Linked DNA regions of Arabidopsis thaliana. The protein of the gene in region 1 interacts with the protein of each later gene in a pairwise test. Each region holds a gene or a part of one and is shown in the gene's direction. Other genes may lie near its edges.

The links.
Region 2: the proteins of RVE2 (region 1) and AT5G56840 interact in a two-hybrid assay, tested with the Arabidopsis thaliana proteins (one large-scale study listed by BioGRID).
Region 3: the proteins of RVE2 (region 1) and AT4G25160 interact in a two-hybrid assay, tested with the Arabidopsis thaliana proteins (one large-scale study listed by BioGRID).

Annotation. Positions count from the first base shown.
Region 1 is NC_003076.8:14,750,243-14,755,153, reverse strand, and holds RVE2 (Homeodomain-like superfamily protein), read left to right. Parts: upstream 1-2,065; 5' UTR 2,066-2,181; coding exon 2,182-2,193; intron 2,194-2,653; coding exon 2,654-2,716; intron 2,717-2,805; coding exon 2,806-2,917; intron 2,918-3,048; coding exon 3,049-3,110; intron 3,111-3,195; coding exon 3,196-3,810; downstream 3,811-4,911. Other genes in the region: AT5G37250 (RING/U-box superfamily protein), read right to left, coding at 4,183-4,809. UniProt on the Arabidopsis thaliana protein: Positive regulator for cold-responsive gene expression and cold tolerance. Part of a regulatory feedback loop that controls a subset of the circadian outputs and modulates the central oscillator. Negatively self-regulates its own expression.
Region 2 is NC_003076.8:22,978,745-22,983,481, forward strand, and holds AT5G56840 (myb-like transcription factor family protein), read left to right. Parts: upstream 1-1,893; 5' UTR 1,894-2,044; coding exon 2,045-2,312; intron 2,313-2,635; coding exon 2,636-2,835; intron 2,836-3,174; coding exon 3,175-3,408; 3' UTR 3,409-3,681; downstream 3,682-4,737.
Region 3 is NC_003075.7:12,902,124-12,909,850, reverse strand, and holds AT4G25160 (U-box domain-containing protein kinase family protein), read left to right. Parts: upstream 1-2,254; 5' UTR 2,255-2,634; intron 2,635-3,148; 5' UTR 3,149-3,181; coding exon 3,182-3,380; intron 3,381-3,543; coding exon 3,544-3,665; intron 3,666-3,755; coding exon 3,756-3,877; intron 3,878-3,958; coding exon 3,959-4,137; intron 4,138-4,223; coding exon 4,224-4,639; intron 4,640-4,706; coding exon 4,707-4,808; intron 4,809-4,891; coding exon 4,892-5,320; intron 5,321-5,461; coding exon 5,462-6,220; intron 6,221-6,311; coding exon 6,312-6,491; 3' UTR 6,492-6,671; downstream 6,672-7,727. Other genes in the region: AT4G25170 (Uncharacterized conserved protein (UCP012943)), read right to left, coding at 1-111; AT4G25150 (HAD superfamily, subfamily IIIB acid phosphatase), read left to right, coding at 6,969-7,363, 7,559-7,727. UniProt on the Arabidopsis thaliana protein: Functions as an E3 ubiquitin ligase.

The DNA of each region.
Region 1 (4,911 bases):
AGATGAACATTTTGTTCTTGCTTGAGAGTGGCTGGGTACACAATTTTTTTCACTTTGTTCATGCTAAAATTCAGTTTTGTCTTCTTATATTTACATCTAAGTTTATGTTTGATTATCTGAAACCCAAATTATCAAGTATTTTACGATTTTTTGAAATAAACGAAATCTGTTTATTTCCTTATTCAAATTTTATAAAATTTTGTAAGAGTGATTTGATTGAAAATGGACAACATTTGGAGACATTTTCAAAAAAAAATGTTATAAAAGGTTATTTTAAAATGCTTTCAAAAATATCAATATAATAAAGAGCGTGATTATATTTTAATTCAGAATTATTTAAGTGATCGAAAATATCATAAATTTTGTATAATTAGAGCATTTGTTCTGATATGCGACATATTTTACTATAATTTTATAGGAACCATATAAATTTAATTTTTTAACTAATTCCAGTTGCACATTTGTTTAGATGAAAATGATTTGATTGCTGCATGATATAATTTATTTACATTTAAGCATATATTTTATTCTATTTTGATGAATTGTGTGGTATTTTCGTACTTAAATTTTGATATATTGTATGTAATTGTACAACATACTCAATCATATGTTATTACTTCTAATAATTTGAATATGGACATACTCAGAAAGGTATCAAGGGCTCTTTCTCTAGCTATTGTTTCTCATATAATCTTTTCAAAATCATATATCATCACCAACTATACTCATCATTCTCGGGTACTATGAGCTCTAACTAGTGGAATGGTACTAGAACTTTGACACACCGTCTAGTTGAGATTATAGAAATTAAAGATTATGTTATATATAGTAGAAACAAAGTAGGCCAAATTCTTATAGAAAAGAATAAACAAAATTAATATAAAAGATAAATGAAAAAACGGTCTTGAATTATAAACAATTTGCTAGGTGTGATTCAACATTGTCTTTATTCAATACTTGTTGGGTCATAAACATTCAAATTGCATATTATTGTTACTCTAGTATTCAAATTGCATATTATGTTTTATCTAAACTAACTTATATATTTATTTTGATAAACATGTCATATGATATTAAACTTATTTTCAATTGATCATCTTCTAAGTTGATGCATTTTAGTATTTTATATTCAAATTTTGAGATCTTAGTATGTAATATATTTTCAGGTTTTTACTATTCATCAGTTTGATGATGCAAATATACATAGTACGAATAAAATGAGTGAAATTGTTTAATTATATGATCAGGAAGAAAAAATAATATTCCAAAATCCAAATTTTAGTGGGTAATTCTTAGCACAAAAACAAATTTTGTTTCCAAATATATCACATATTTTTCAATGTTCCACAAATAGCATTAATTGTTGAAATTTGTTATGAATAAGAATATGTTCTATAACATTATATGAATTAGAATTATCAATAGATAAAGTGTGTCAACTCAAATCGCTAAATTGTTGAAAACAATTTAATAATATATTCATTTAATATATTCTCATGTCAATATGATATGATTAGATCTATTTAGTGAGATCTTATTTAATTGTTAATTCTAATAAAACAAAAATAGTGATTATATTACTAATAAATAATATAATTGTTTAATCTTATTTTATGGAACTGTATTTCTCAACTTCAATTAAATACTGTACCTAAACCTAAAATTAAATATGCAATCAACTTGATTAATAAAAAACAACAAAATGGGGTAAGAAGTAAACAACGTTGTTAAACAAGACACGCGCTCACCAGTCGCGAGTTTGGCAATAATCATGAAATGAGCTTCTTTAAAAAAACTTTCTAGTAGATAAATTAAACAATTAAAAATCTCCGACAAGATTTAACAAAGAACAGATAATATCTTCTCCGCAAAGACAAAAGTGAAAGCGAAGAAGAAATCCTCCACGTGTCATTAGCATCTTTTAACCTGAGCCACATGATACTAGTTTCTCGAAACCCCTCTTTACGCTTTTTCACCCAAATTTTTATAAAAAGAAAAACATTATGCTTACGTGGCTTATCTTCTTCTTGCTCTTTTAAAGTAACCCCTTGACTCTGCTCCTTTCATAAACAACAACTCTCTCACCAATCTCAAAACAATTCTCTCTCTCTTTATTCTTCTTCTTCAGCTTCAGATTTCAGATCTTAAATCTTCAAGTCTTCTTCTTCTTCTTCTGCAACCATGGCTATGCAGGTTTGAGATCTATCTTCTTTGTTATTCTTTATGCAATCTTGATCTTGGTTTTGTTACTGTTGTTATGTTTCAAGTCTTGTGGAATCCAGACAGATTTAACCTAAACTTAGGTTTATGTCCGAGAGAAAATAGGTTATTTTGTTATCTAATTTCAAGTTTAATCTCTTTGTCTGAGAGAACTTGGAACTGAAGATTATTCGATTGTGGCAGGTTAAAAATTGTGTTAATAGACCAGGCGATTATGTGGGATATTATGGTCGGTTGTTTTAAAGAGAGATTACTTCTTTCTTAATGTATTGATCCGTATTAGGTAAGAACATGTCTCTAATCCCCTAATTATTACTGGTGGTCTACCTCTTCTAGTTGCGTATTAATTAGTTTTATTAGACTCTTTGTAACATTTAATTACTCTTACAATATATTAAGAGACTAATTGTGTTTTCTTACTTTGTGATTATAGGAACGTTGTGAGAGTTTATGTTCTGATGAACTTATATCTTCCTCAGATGCCTTTTACCTCAAGGTACTAATTTTGTTTCTTAATCTCTTGTTTACTCTTGATTGGTTTTGAACTTAAATATGAGGTTAATTTAGGGTTTGTTTTGTTTATAGACAAGAAAGCCTTATACCATCACTAAACAAAGAGAGAAATGGACAGAAGCAGAGCATGAGAAGTTTGTAGAAGCATTGAAACTCTATGGCAGAGCTTGGAGACGAATCGAAGGTGTGTGTGCTTATCTGACTTTAGAGAGTCTAATGCACATTCTAATCTAAGTTTGATGAAGATATAAGAAAACTACTTGGACCCTAGTAATGAGTAGAGATCTGACTTTTGTTGGTTCTTCTATGGAACAGAACATGTTGGAACAAAAACTGCAGTTCAGATTCGAAGCCATGCGCAGAAGTTCTTTACTAAGGTTTGCCTTCTTGCAGACCCTTATACATGAAAAAGTTTCAACCTCTTCGTGTTAAGCAAGGTCTAATTCAAGTTTTTCTTATTAGGTTGCTCGCGATTTTGGTGTTAGCTCTGAGTCCATTGAGATCCCGCCTCCAAGGCCAAAGAGAAAGCCGATGCATCCTTACCCTAGAAAGCTTGTGATTCCTGATGCAAAAGAGATGGTATACGCTGAACTAACCGGATCCAAGCTGATTCAGGATGAAGATAACCGATCTCCAACATCGGTTTTATCAGCTCATGGCTCAGATGGATTAGGTTCCATTGGTTCAAATTCACCTAACTCTTCTTCAGCTGAGTTATCATCTCACACAGAGGAATCATTGTCTCTAGAAGCAGAGACCAAACAGAGCCTTAAGCTCTTTGGAAAAACTTTTGTAGTTGGTGATTACAACTCTTCAATGAGTTGTGATGATTCTGAAGATGGCAAGAAGAAGCTATACTCAGAAACACAGTCTCTTCAATGTTCTTCTTCTACTTCAGAAAACGCTGAAACAGAAGTGGTAGTGTCGGAGTTCAAAAGAAGTGAGAGATCAGCTTTCTCTCAGTTAAAATCGTCGGTGACTGAGATGAACAACATGAGAGGGTTCATGCCTTACAAAAAGAGAGTAAAGGTGGAAGAAAACATTGACAATGTAAAATTATCATATCCTTTGTGGTGAAGTGTTCGTTTGTGTCAAGTCAGTTGTGTAAACTCTTTTGATCTCAACATCAGATTATGTGTATAATGTCAGAGTATTAGGGAAAGTTTTTTTGGATTAGATTCGTAAGATCACTCCAAAGTTTCGTGTCTTTCCATATAACCAGTTAGAAATTGAGATCCTTGTACTTAAACATTTTTATTTGATCAATCAAATCTTCTTGATAACTCTAAATTGTTGTACATAATAGTAGTCTCTATCAAGCATTTCATTCGAAAGGATTAACAAAAAAGATTAGGTTTACAAAAAATACATCAAAAGCAAATGTTTGAAACATAGAAACAAGTAATGCATCATAAACCCTAAGACTAGCTTCAAGTCTCTGTGACGGTTTCACTCTGTTTCAAGATCTTCCTCGTACGGTACTCGTCGACACAAAGGACACGACCTCTGACGCTTAAGCCACTCAAAGATACAATTTTGATGGAACAAATGGAAACAGTCAGGTAACAGAATGATGTTATCATCATGACTCTCCGAAAAGTCCTCCAAACAAATCGAACAAGTGGTTTCTTCTTCATCTCCCAAATCAGTCAATTCCATTGTTTGTTCCTCAAGCAATCTTTGAAACGTATCTGTCGACCTAACAGCAATAGACGAGAACATAACATCTCTTGTCACTTCCACGTATAAGGACACACTAAAAGGTTGGGGAATATGAGCACAATCCAAAACGATCCTTTCGCTCAACAATCGACAAAACTCAGTATGTGTGATGAACTCGTCAAGGTCTTGATAGATGTGATGTGAACTGAGACATGATGGTTTCAATTCGATTTTAGTCATAAGTGGAGCCGCGAACGTTCCCAAACACATTACGACACCGTTTTGATCTTCAGCTAACTCGTTGACCACATCTTGTAGATTGACGAACACGGTGTTTCTAAACCCTTGATCTTGTGGTAGGATCATTGCTGTTGTAGTAATCTTTACGGACACCAAATTACTATATGTATTCATGGTGGAAGAAGAAGAAGAAAAAGAAGATTCAAAGCCTAACTTTTGATATGAAGAGATAAGATTGTGAAATCAAAGAGAAGAGATCGATGAAATTGACTTAAA
Region 2 (4,737 bases), 8.2 Mb from region 1:
AATATGAGACCGGATCAAGAGTCTTTTCAAGAATCTGTCATTCAGAGTGTTAATGTGGAAGAAAGTTTTGAAGCAGAAGCTGAAATATTATACTCTTTGAATGACATTACTCAGAGCCAAGTGGCAATGATGGAGAGACAAAGTGAAGTGTTGTCGTTGGTGCAAAAGAATCAAAAGATGCTAATGCAGATGCAAAAACAAATGATGATGTTAATGCAGCAGAAAGATCATGTGTTAGCACACTCCGAATCTTATGAGGAGGAGATGACAAAAGTGATCGAGTCTATGGAGAAACACTACTTGAAGAAAAAGTAGTTTTGTTTATTTTTGTTTGGTTTTGGTTTTTTCTTTGTTTGGTGTTCCTGAAAGTTGATTAATTACTGATCATGGATTCATTCATAAAATTCGTCTTTGCATAAATTGTGGACTTCAACTTTTGGTAATTGTGAGACTTCTTACTCGAAACAGAGACTTATTATATTTTGTCACCTCTTAAAACAGAGAAAAACAGAGAAGTATCGATTTAGAGATCAAAAGAATGTGATGTGTGCTGTTATTGTGGATGAAGAGCATTTGCATAATGTTCTAATTTGGTAGTTTTTTTCCTTCAATAATATATGATATAGTGAGCAACATCTTTAGAATATGTTTAGTAAATTTTTGTAAAACAAATTGACCTACCTCACCAAAAACAAACTTCATTGGACCAGAATTAAGTAGCCATTAGGATCAAATCAACAATAATATACTATTTATGTGATGAAATATGAATCCCCATCATTGTCCTATATGAATCAACATTTAATATATTTTAATTAGTCGAATCTTAAAAATGAATCCCAGTCATATTATCTTTATGTATGTAGAAGAAGATATAATCAACATTAAATAGATTATTATAGTACATCAACATGAATACCCCATCTTGTCATATTATATGTATGTGGGATAGAATCAACATGAATCCACATTCAGTATTCAAATTAGAAATGATCGTAGGCTATGACTCTAAAGTTAATTTTAATTTATATGATGAATGCGAGTACCCCCATTATAGATTCATACTATACATTATTTTATATGATCAAATATGAATCATCATCATTGTTCTCCTATACTTGCTCTTCATTCCGAATGTAGCAATAGAATCTCCATATTGCTTTTTACCAATTCTAACCATAAACAATTCATAGATAAATGCATGTTGGGTAGTGCTTTGTCTACTAGTAATTAATAACATTATCGATTACAATATTTGAGCAAATCAGGCAATCTTTAAATAAAAATATGTATACGATGACTCTTCCGTCCAACTAATATATTGAAAATATTATAAGATCCAAATTATTTCATTATTTATATCAAACAAAAACAAGAAATAAATAAGACTTGTCTTTGTTCATGTAAACAAGACCACTTTGTTGTTTGTTTCTCTATTTTACAAATTTGTAAATTATATTTTTGTTATGTTTCTTTCCACATTTTTATTAGGTCATCCAACTACCCACCTCCCCAAAACTATTGGAGGATCCAAGTCCTCTCTCTCTCAACCATATATCTTATATTTCCTTTGCAAAAGGATAGCCTTTATTATTTAATACACATAGATTCCATTATTGTTATGGCTACCTCATTCTATTCTATAAAGCATACATATGAGAAGAAGAAGCAAAATATAGACTATGTGAAAGATAAATGAATATTTCATATTTGTGAGACAAATTAATTAGATTAGAATTAACATTTTGTAGCTAGTCCATATTAGTGATAAATTTCCACTTATAAAGACATATTTTCCTCTTTTGTTTTTTATACGTAAGCTTGTCTTCTTATTGGCTAAAAGTAGAAAACACCAACTTGGACAACATCATTTAAATTATAAAACCCTCCAATAAATAAAACTTGGTTTATCCAATCATCTTATTTCTCTGTGCTCTCCACCATTTTACATAAACCCCAAAATCTCTCTTCATCATCATCATTCATCAACATCATCTCTCTTTCTCTATCTCGCTGTCCCTCCTTCTCTTTCTCATTCATTGCAATGGGCAGAAGATGCTCACACTGTGGAAACGTAGGACATAACTCAAGAACATGTTCTTCTTACCAAACAAGAGTAGTTAGGCTCTTTGGTGTTCATCTAGACACCACAAGCTCTTCTCCGCCGCCTCCTCCTCCTCCCTCGATTTTGGCCGCTGCAATAAAGAAAAGTTTCAGCATGGATTGCTTGCCGGCATGTTCCTCCTCTTCCTCTTCCTTTGCTGGTTATCTCTCCGATGGTCTCGCCCATAAAACACCTGACCGCAAAAAAGGTTACAACTTTGACATATTATGCCACTTTCCGAGTTTTTTTTTACAATAGGATAGTGACGTTTTTTTATTAATCCAAAAGTTCCGGGTATTAGGCCCATAATCGATTTGTATCGGAGATCAAAACATGTTAAACTGGTCATCGGTGGGATTGGTTTTGCCATAAAGATTTTGTACGTATATCCAAGTCGGACCATTTCCTAAAGCATGCAACCGCTATATATATAAGAGTAGTCAAGAAAATGATGTGTCTATAACGCGATCTTTAGCCTAGGATTTTGTTAAAAGTTTTTCCAAAAATAATAATTTGTGTTTCCGTAATTAGGGGTTCCATGGACGGCGGAAGAGCACCGGACGTTTCTAATTGGATTAGAAAAGCTTGGAAAAGGAGATTGGAGAGGAATCTCTAGAAACTTCGTCGTCACAAAATCCCCGACACAAGTGGCAAGTCATGCTCAAAAATACTTTCTCCGGCAAACTACCACTCTCCATCACAAGAGACGCCGCACCAGCCTCTTTGATATGGCAAGTAATTCCAATCTTTTCTCTATACATGCATGACAAAAGAATTTAAACTCTTTGTATCAAACTTTTATGTATTAAATCAAAATGTTTCTGTATCCAACAAAAGTCACATCTTCAAAAGTTCAAACAGAATTTTTATGTTGTTTTAAAAGTTTTCTTTCCAAGTTTTTTTTTCCCACTTAAAATATCGGAATTTTCTAAACCAAAAATTAGTCAAGATTTTAAGTTTAATCTAAGCTTTATTTTAATACCAAGTATATATGAACATATAATTTCTTGTAGAATCCGAAGAAAAAAATAGAAAATAATCTTGAATTGACAAATTTTTATATTCAACAGGTTTCGGCCGGCAATGTTGAAGAAAATAGTACTACTAAGAGGATATGTAATGATCATATTGGGTCGAGCTCAAAGGTTGTTTGGAAACAAGGATTACTCAATCCTCGTCTTGGATATCCAGATCCGAAAGTATCAGTATCCGGCTCGGGTAACTCCGGTGGACTCGATCTTGAGCTGAAGCTTGCGTCCATTCAATCTCCTGAATCGAATATTAGACCTATTAGCGTTACGTGAATCTATATAACACGTTATGATCAGTTTCATTAGAATAATTCAAATGTTTACATATATAATATCTTATCGATCCTATCTAATTTGATTTTGATTTAACGTTAGTTACTTTGATAATTTCGTCGATATTGTTTTTTTGGTTTTTTCATTGTGAGATTTTTTGTCTTGGAAGTTGGATCCATACATATTTCTGTAAAACTTTATATTTAAGGTATATATATCTAGCGCTCATAAAAGTTTCAATATTCCTATTATACTTTTAATAAGAAAGTTTCTTACGATAGAATTAGAACGGATAAGACAATTTTGTACATAGTACAACTTGTTTGAAGTTTCTTGTTTTCTAGTTCATTAAATATTTCAAGATTCGTTTTTAAAAAAAATATTCTTTTCGAAATGTGTTTCAAAAATTTAGAATACTTTTAACATATCTAAAAATTTAGAATACTTTTAAAATTTCGTTTTTAACAGAATACTTTCACATTGTTAGTTTTCTGTTAATAAAACAATAAACACGAGTTTCAAACATAATGTAAAGATAACTTTAAGAACTGATATTGAGTCCACAAGAGCTCAATAATATTTAACACTGAATCCACTTTAACACAAAACCAAGGGTCTTTCTCAGAATTGTTATAATTTTGTTGTTGGCGAAAAAGAAAAAAGAAACAAAAAGGTCACATTTTTTACATTTCTATATTTAGTGCAAGTTGTTTAATAGTGACACTACTATTGGAAATGACCCAAAGTGACTGGACGACAAGATATTATATTATTTATGATTTTGATATATACTTCCTCTTTTCACACAAAATTTGGTTTAAAACATTATTTTGTAAGAAAATATGATCATTTTATATTTCCAATATTTTTTATCTAATTTTAATTTTAATTCTAATATTTTAATTTATTATTTACGAAGAGAAATCTATTTAAAATAACGAACGATATGTAATAGAGATTTATATATTTTTAATATGTATGAAAAATGCTAGAATAACATTTTTGTGAAGAGAATTTAAAATAGTCAAATAGTTTTTTTTTTTTTTGTCGATTAAATAGTCAAATAGTTAAATGACAAAATTCTGTGAGAGAAATTAGGTGAATGGTTATTATGCCCAGACAAATTAAGCAAATGGGCAGTACGGCAATCAAAATTTATTTATTATGATTTTCAATTAAACTTTGATCTTTGTGTAAATATATTATGTTACGGAAAATATCATTCCTCTCAATCTCTCATAAATCAAATTAATATTTTGTTAGGTCTATTTTCACATCAAAAATGTGGTATAATACCTAAAATAAATAAGAAACATGAATATTCACTAG
Region 3 (7,727 bases), on another chromosome or scaffold:
AAAGGGATCTTGAATACCACCGTTGGCTACACCGGTCCTCGTCATCGCACGACCGGCGGCGCGTAACATACCTCCGCCGCCACCCATAGGCCCTCTTCCTCCACCAAACATAGAGAGATCACTATCAAATTGTTTTTACTTACACGACAGGTTGCGTATGTTTACTCGGTGAGTTTGTCTTTTGGTCCGATGCTATTTCGTAGGCTTTTTACTTGAAGCAGTTTTGATTGAATCGAGGAAGTGGATAAATGCGAAATGTCTTTTATAGATTTTCAGGAATATATGACTTTCTTTACTTTGCTTTGGTCCTTCTTCTCCACGACACGCTTATCCGTTTACTCTGTTTTCTTTTTTTCCATTAAATGCATTAAAATACTACTCCACTGTTGTTATAATAATAATTGTTTCAATACTGGATTATATATCCCAAATTTATTTGGTACGTCAGCATATGAGTTTCCAAAAACGAAATAAAAACATAATAAAAAAAAAAGAGACTATGCTTTATTATAACTAAAGGTGTACATAGATCAAATCATAAAATTTCATATTCAATTTGGATAATTTGGATGTGGTTAAAAACCTAAAAGTCTAAAACCAGTACGTAATAGTAGTTTTCTTTTTTTCCGTGTAACATATGTATGGGTTTATATAAACCAAAACATATTTGTAGGTCTTTTTCATTTTGAGTTTCGGTAGCGTTTTCAATTGGATTTTATTTGAATTTTAATCCAAAATAATGGATTTTTATCATAGTTAGACAAAAATTTCACGGAATTTATGGGTAAATAGTTTTTCTTTTGTTCGTGAATGTCAACGAACATAGGCATTTTTAGTGTGGTCAAACTATGTTTAAGTTGATGTGTGTATGTATCTGACAGGTAAGTCTGTTGTTTTGCAAACATGTTTTCAATATCATTCTTTACCAAAAAATGATATTTTCATATTACAAAGCAGATTATTTTAGAGTAACTTTGTAAACTATTCAAAACAAATGTGTACACAAAGGTTACTTTTGCATTTAAACCTTTATGTAATTAATAAATCAAGTCATTTCAGCCATTAATAAATTAAGATATTTGTATCTAATTCAACATTGTAAATTATCATATTTAAAAGTTCTTCCACTATCAAATTTCATCATCGCCATATAATTAGAGTTTCTACACTCGATCATGTATTAAAAGAAGATCTTGACCACACACACAACAAAAGAAACAAATTGTAAGAAAATACCCATTTGCAAATTTCCTATTAATAAGTTATAAATAAATTATATGTCATTTGCTATTTACTAATGTCATTTATCCAGTTTTCATTGGACAAACTCTGCCTTTTTCGTCCATTTTTTTCTTAAAAAAAGATGGCCATTCATAGTAAAAAGAATATTATGTAGTGCAACACAATATTGATATATATTCTTATATTTTTGACAGAATTTGTTCTTTAGTTTTTGCATCAAACAAAACGAGAATGGAGAAAATAATCATTGATATATTGACCTGAACACTAGTCGTTTACATTCAGAATACACAATAGTAATACGAATACTAGACTCAAGAGCATGAAAACTCCAAAACCAATTTGAAAGTGGGAAGACATTTCGTACGGAAAAAAGGAGAATCAACATAAGAAAATAATAATAGATTTTAAGTTTATAGAGATATTAGATAATTGAAATTTGAAAATAATGTGTCCTGATCGAATATTTCATGATGAATGACTACAGGGGATGAAGATTTTAGCGTCGAGACAAGACAAGTTTAAAATTCGAGTTTTTTCCACCTTTTATCATCAATCATCAAGGAACAATGACATGCCAATTCGTTTTCCATAAGTAACTTTTAATGTTTTTAGCTTCTATAGATACTTTGAATGCTTTTATTCTAAAAGGTCTTTGTTGACAAGGTCAAAGAGCCTAATCGAATCCTCTTGATCAGCCAGAGAGTTTTGCCTTCGTCTTTGGATTTTGCCAAAATTGGTTACTTAATCAGCCAGAGGTTAAAACTCGTAAACCGGCGTTTAAATTGAACCGGCCAAATCACGGTTCAAATGCGAACCAATGTTGTAGGTGAACTCTACCAAAGTCTTGTACCACTCCACTATGCATAAAGGGGAGGAGACAAAAAGACGTGAGGAAGACATAGATCATGCGTGCAACTATGGCCAAACTCGATATAATAATGGCGTTGAGGAATGTAGTTAAATACCAAATAATTAGGGAATTAAGAGATAAACTATGATTAAACTAATAGTCAAGGCCTAAGGTTGGAGAAAACTTCTTTCTTTTAGAACACACTCTCCTTCTGTCACTCTGATAATGAAGAAAATTCAGGCGAGAGAACAAAAGAGTATATACCCAGGACTGATCCTCCTTTGACCATTAACATGACCAACTTGTCTCATTTTCTTATTATTTTTGATGCTTCTTTTCAAATCTTTTTTAGATTCTCTGGTTATAAGAACCCATTGTTTGTATCTGAGATTAGCAGCACCAACGTGGGTCTTCATCTTCTTCTTCTGCTGCTCTCTTTATTTTCTGAAATTGATTGCTCTGTGAAATGGAAGCTTCCACCATTTCTTCTCTCAATTTTTGTATTGGGTTTGACTAAAGTCGCATCCTTTATTTACCAGGTAGGTTCAATTTCTGGTTTTCTTGTTTAACTCTATGCCCTGAAGATGGTCCCTTTGATTGACTTGATCAATGTTTCATAACCTTTCGAATTCTCTGCAATTGCATTGTGCTCAAAGTTGACATTTTTATTGGAAAGTTTGAGTTTTTTTTTTTATCTTTATAAGAAGCTAGCTATTTGTTAGCTTCGATGGTCGTTGAGTGTTGTTGCTTTACGATCCTTTTGGTCGTCCAAATTAGACTCTGAGACATTTGACTTTCAACGCTATTAAGAGTATCTCATGATCGGTATACCTCCGTTAGATTCTGTCAATACTTATTATTATTTGCCTTTTCGGTTTGATGAGTTGATATTCAACATTCAGCTATGTGAGTTCAAATATAATTACTGTCTGTTGATTCCCACTGACTGGAGAGTTTTAGCTTTCCCTTTCTTTCATGTTATCTCTACTTTAGGAACAAAACACTCTTTTTAGAACATTGTTTTGCAGTGTCTGAAATGGTTGTAGTGTGCAGGGTCAATAGAAACAAGAACACAAAAGATTAACAATGAGTAGATCACCAGACAAGCTTGCTCTTCCTCCTCCTCCTCCTCCTCCCCCATCTCGTACCGTCGTTGTGGCTCTAAGTGGGAGCAGTAAAAGCAAATATGTAGTTACATGGGCGATCGAAAAATTTGCTACTGAAGGAAATGTTGGCTTCAAGCTGCTTCACATCCATCCAATGATTACTTCTGTACCTACACCAAGTAAAGTTCCAACTATGCCTTGTATTTCTGTTTCTTTCTTTCTTGTACTCAGGACTTCTTCCTGTGTTTCCCTTTTTTCTATTTGGTATTGTTGTGTAAAACAAAATCAAGACTTATTGTAACTGATAAAAAGCCTGATGTACATTTCTTGCTCCTTCTCAAGTGGGAAATGCAATCCCGATTTCCGAGGTACGAGATGATGTAGTAACTGCATATAGACAGGAAATACTGTGGCAGTCTGAAGAAATGCTTAAACCTTACACAAAACTGTTCGTGCGGAGAAAGGTATTTTCTTTGGTATAATGAGATATCTTACGCTCTTCTTTAATGAAAATTTCAAGGTTACATGAACTCATTGAATTACCTTAATGAAAGGTTGCAGTAGAAGTTCTTGTGATCGAATCAGATAATGTGGCAGCCGCAATAGCTGAAGAAGTGACTCGGGATTCAATAGACAGAATTGTCATTGGAGGCTCATCCCGTAGTTTTTTCTCAAGGTACACTACCACCCTGCTGCTAGCTTTCGACCTTTGTTCTTTCTATTCCGTGTACCAATGAATCTGTTTTGAAAATTCCAGGAAAGCTGATATTTGCTCGGTGATATCAGCTTTGATGCCAAACTTTTGTACAGTCTATGTTGTTTCAAAAGGTAAATTGTCATGCGTCCGACCATCAGACTCAGACGGAAATGCTACTATAAGAGAAGATGGTAGTGAGAGAACAAATTCTTCAAGCGGTTCTTCTGGTCCCACCTCAGGTCCATGACTCATCAATGTATTTGTGTGAATACTCTACTAGAAATGGTGTGTATATCTAATTCTGTTACCCCATTTTCTCTTCTAGATTCATCAGATGTAATGTCAAGTGCGCATGACTCTCAATCTCGTCCTCTATCCCTTCCGGTCAGGAGAATGCAACATTTCCCTGCAATTGCAGGACAGGCATCAGTTCCAATGGAAACGAGTTCTGTTGGCTCGGATGAAACCAGGTGCATGTCTTTGGATGCAGAGGAAGCTAGAGATGTTTCAAGTATCAATAGAAGCAGCACAGATACTACATCACGTTGGACTCCTCGGCGTAGAGATTATGAGGAGAGAAAAGAAGCTATGAGTTCTTCTTCGAGCAACCGTGAATACGGGAATTTTGGTACTAGGTTTAGTTGGAGTGGCATGGGTGTCGATACTACACACTCTCGGGCTTCTCAACAAGCTTCCAACATGTCTGATGCTCTAAGTGAACAATCCTATACAGACAACCAGGTATAAAATGGAGTTTTAATTTCGACATTGTCTTGTGAATCGGAATAATATAAGATTATTTGTTCAGGTAAACCTAAACTTTGAGGTTGAGAAGTTGAGAGCTGAGCTTAGACACGTTCAAGAAATGTATGCTGTGGCTCAAACCGAAACCTTTGATGCTTCTCGAAAGGTGAAGGCCTCATAATATCATATATCTTTGCATTTGATGAAACTTATTAAATTGTGCTCAATGCTTTTCTGAAAATGTTTCAGCTTGGTGAACTTAACCAACGTCGGTTAGAAGAAGCCATAAAGCTTGAAGAGCTAAAGCTGAAGGAGTATGAAGCTCGAGAGTTAGCAGAAAAGGAAAAGCAGAATTTTGAGAAGGCAAGGAGAGATGCAGAGAGCATGAGAGAAAGAGCAGAGAGAGAAATTGCGCAGAGAAGAGAAGCCGAAAGGAAATCCGCACGTGATACTAAAGAGAAAGAGAAGCTCGAGGGCACTCTCGGGTCTCCTCAGCTGCAATATCAGCACTTTGCTTGGGAAGAAATTATGGCTGCCACTTCATCATTCTCAGAAGAACTGAAGATCGGAATGGGAGCTTACGGAGCTGTTTACAAGTGTAATCTGCATCATACAACTGCAGTTGTCAAAGTTTTGCAGTCAGCTGAAAATCAACTTTCCAAACAATTCCAACAAGAGGTATGGAAGTGAGCTCAAATTTGGTTTAAGGAACTTTGTTTGAGATTTTGTGCCTTTCACTATATGGAAGTTTTCTGATTTTAATTTCAATTCTTGTGGATAAGAGTCTACATTTATCTCACTGGCCTCTCTAATTTGCAGCTCGAAATCTTGAGCAAGATTAGGCATCCACATTTGGTTCTCCTTCTAGGAGCGTGCCCGGAGCAAGGTGCTTTAGTTTATGAGTACATGGAAAACGGTAGCTTGGAGGACAGACTTTTCCAGGTCAACAACAGTCCGCCACTCCCGTGGTTTGAGCGGTTTAGGATTGCTTGGGAAGTTGCAGCGGCTCTTGTCTTCCTCCACAAATCAAAGCCTAAACCAATCATTCACCGTGATCTTAAACCTGCAAACATCTTACTTGATCACAACTTTGTCAGCAAAGTTGGAGACGTGGGACTCTCAACGATGGTTCAAGTCGATCCTCTATCAACTAAATTCACTATATACAAACAAACAAGCCCCGTGGGAACGTTATGCTATATTGATCCGGAATATCAGCGCACTGGAAGGATATCATCGAAATCAGATATCTACTCCTTTGGAATGATTCTTCTTCAGCTTCTCACAGCAAAACCTGCTATTGCATTGACACATTTCGTTGAGAGCGCAATGGATAGTAATGATGAGTTCCTTAAGATCTTAGATCAGAAAGCCGGTAACTGGCCGATTGAAGAAACCCGGGAATTGGCCGCATTAGCTTTGTGTTGTACAGAGCTACGCGGGAAAGATAGACCTGATTTGAAAGATCAGATTCTTCCAGCGCTCGAAAACCTAAAGAAAGTAGCTGAAAAGGCAAGGAACTCATTTTCCGGCGTATCGACACAGCCTCCCACTCATTTCATCTGCCCATTACTTAAGGTAAACTCTATATAAAACCTTGTTCAATGTTGAAACATCTCATCTCAGTGTGTTGTGGTGAAAATGTGTGAGCTTGTGTGGTATAATGCAGGACGTGATGAACGAGCCGTGCGTTGCAGCAGACGGATACACATACGACCGTCATGCGATAGAGGAGTGGCTTAAGGAGCACAACACATCGCCGATGACGGATTCACCGTTGCATAGCAAGAACCTTTTACCCAATTATACTCTTTACACAGCCATCATGGAATGGAGGTCTACACGATAGTAGTAAGCCAAACTGTGTAGCGTTTTTGTGGATATATAAACGGCAAGACGTTTTGCTTTGTACTACTACTACACACATGCTGAATCAAAAATATAAACCGAAACGAAACCTTAATCATCTTGTAAACGAATATTCGGATCCATCCGTTAATTTGCCTCCAAATAAGAACACAAAACCATTGCCCTTTATTTTTCATTTTGGTATTTTGGTCTTTTTTGTCTCTCTTCCTTTCCATTGCCCAAAAAGAAACAGAAACTTTTCTCCGAGAATCCTCATTTCTCCGTTGAAAAAAGGACCTTGAGAGGAAATGTTTCACTGTTTCTAGGGTTCTTATAATCCACTTCCTCATCATTAGAGAATGGAAAATCTCCTCTTCTCTTTGATATTTCTTCGGATTTCGCTTATGTCCTGAATCTCTTGAAGACCCAATTGAAAAAATCTCAACTTTTTTTCTCCCGGCGTTTCCGGCGATATACAATGCGGATTCTCGTGAATCTCATTCTCTTCTCCTTGATTCCTCTGGCGTTCTCCAATGAAAACTCCAGCTCGTATCTCATTGCGCGACCATTGATCTTCGAAACCCAGCTCAAGAACATAAACGACAATGTCAATCTACATTGCACGAGCTGGAGATTCGCGGCGGAGACAAACAATCTCGCTCCATGGAAAACCATTCCAGCTGAATGCGCCGATTACGTGAAAGATTACCTGATGGGTGAAGGTTACGTCGTCGATGTGGAGAGAGTCTCCGAAGAAGCTAAGGTTTACGCGAGCAGCTTCGAATCTAACGGTGACGGGAAAGACATTTGGATTTTCGATATTGATGAGACGTTATTGTCGAATCTTCCTTATTACATGGAACACGGTTGTGGGTAATTTATCTTAAATCTTTCATTTTACAACATTGCTATAAAAAGTTGGTTCCTTGATAATTGTATAGATGGATTTGTCTTTTTACTATGTCGAATTAGTTAAGATTTGAGGTATGTGTTGTTGTCTGTCTTTTTCTTTGCTTGTTTGTCTATGTATGATAAATGTGAATGTTTGTTCTGTTTGGGAATTTGCAGGTTGGAAGTTTTTGATCATTCAAAGTTTGATATGTGGGTAGAGAAAGGGATAGCACCTGCTATAGCACCAAGCTTGAAGCTTTACCAAAAGGTTATACATTTGGGGTACAAAGTTATCTTGCTTACAGGGCGTAGAGAGAACCACCGGGTTATCACTGTCGAAAACCTG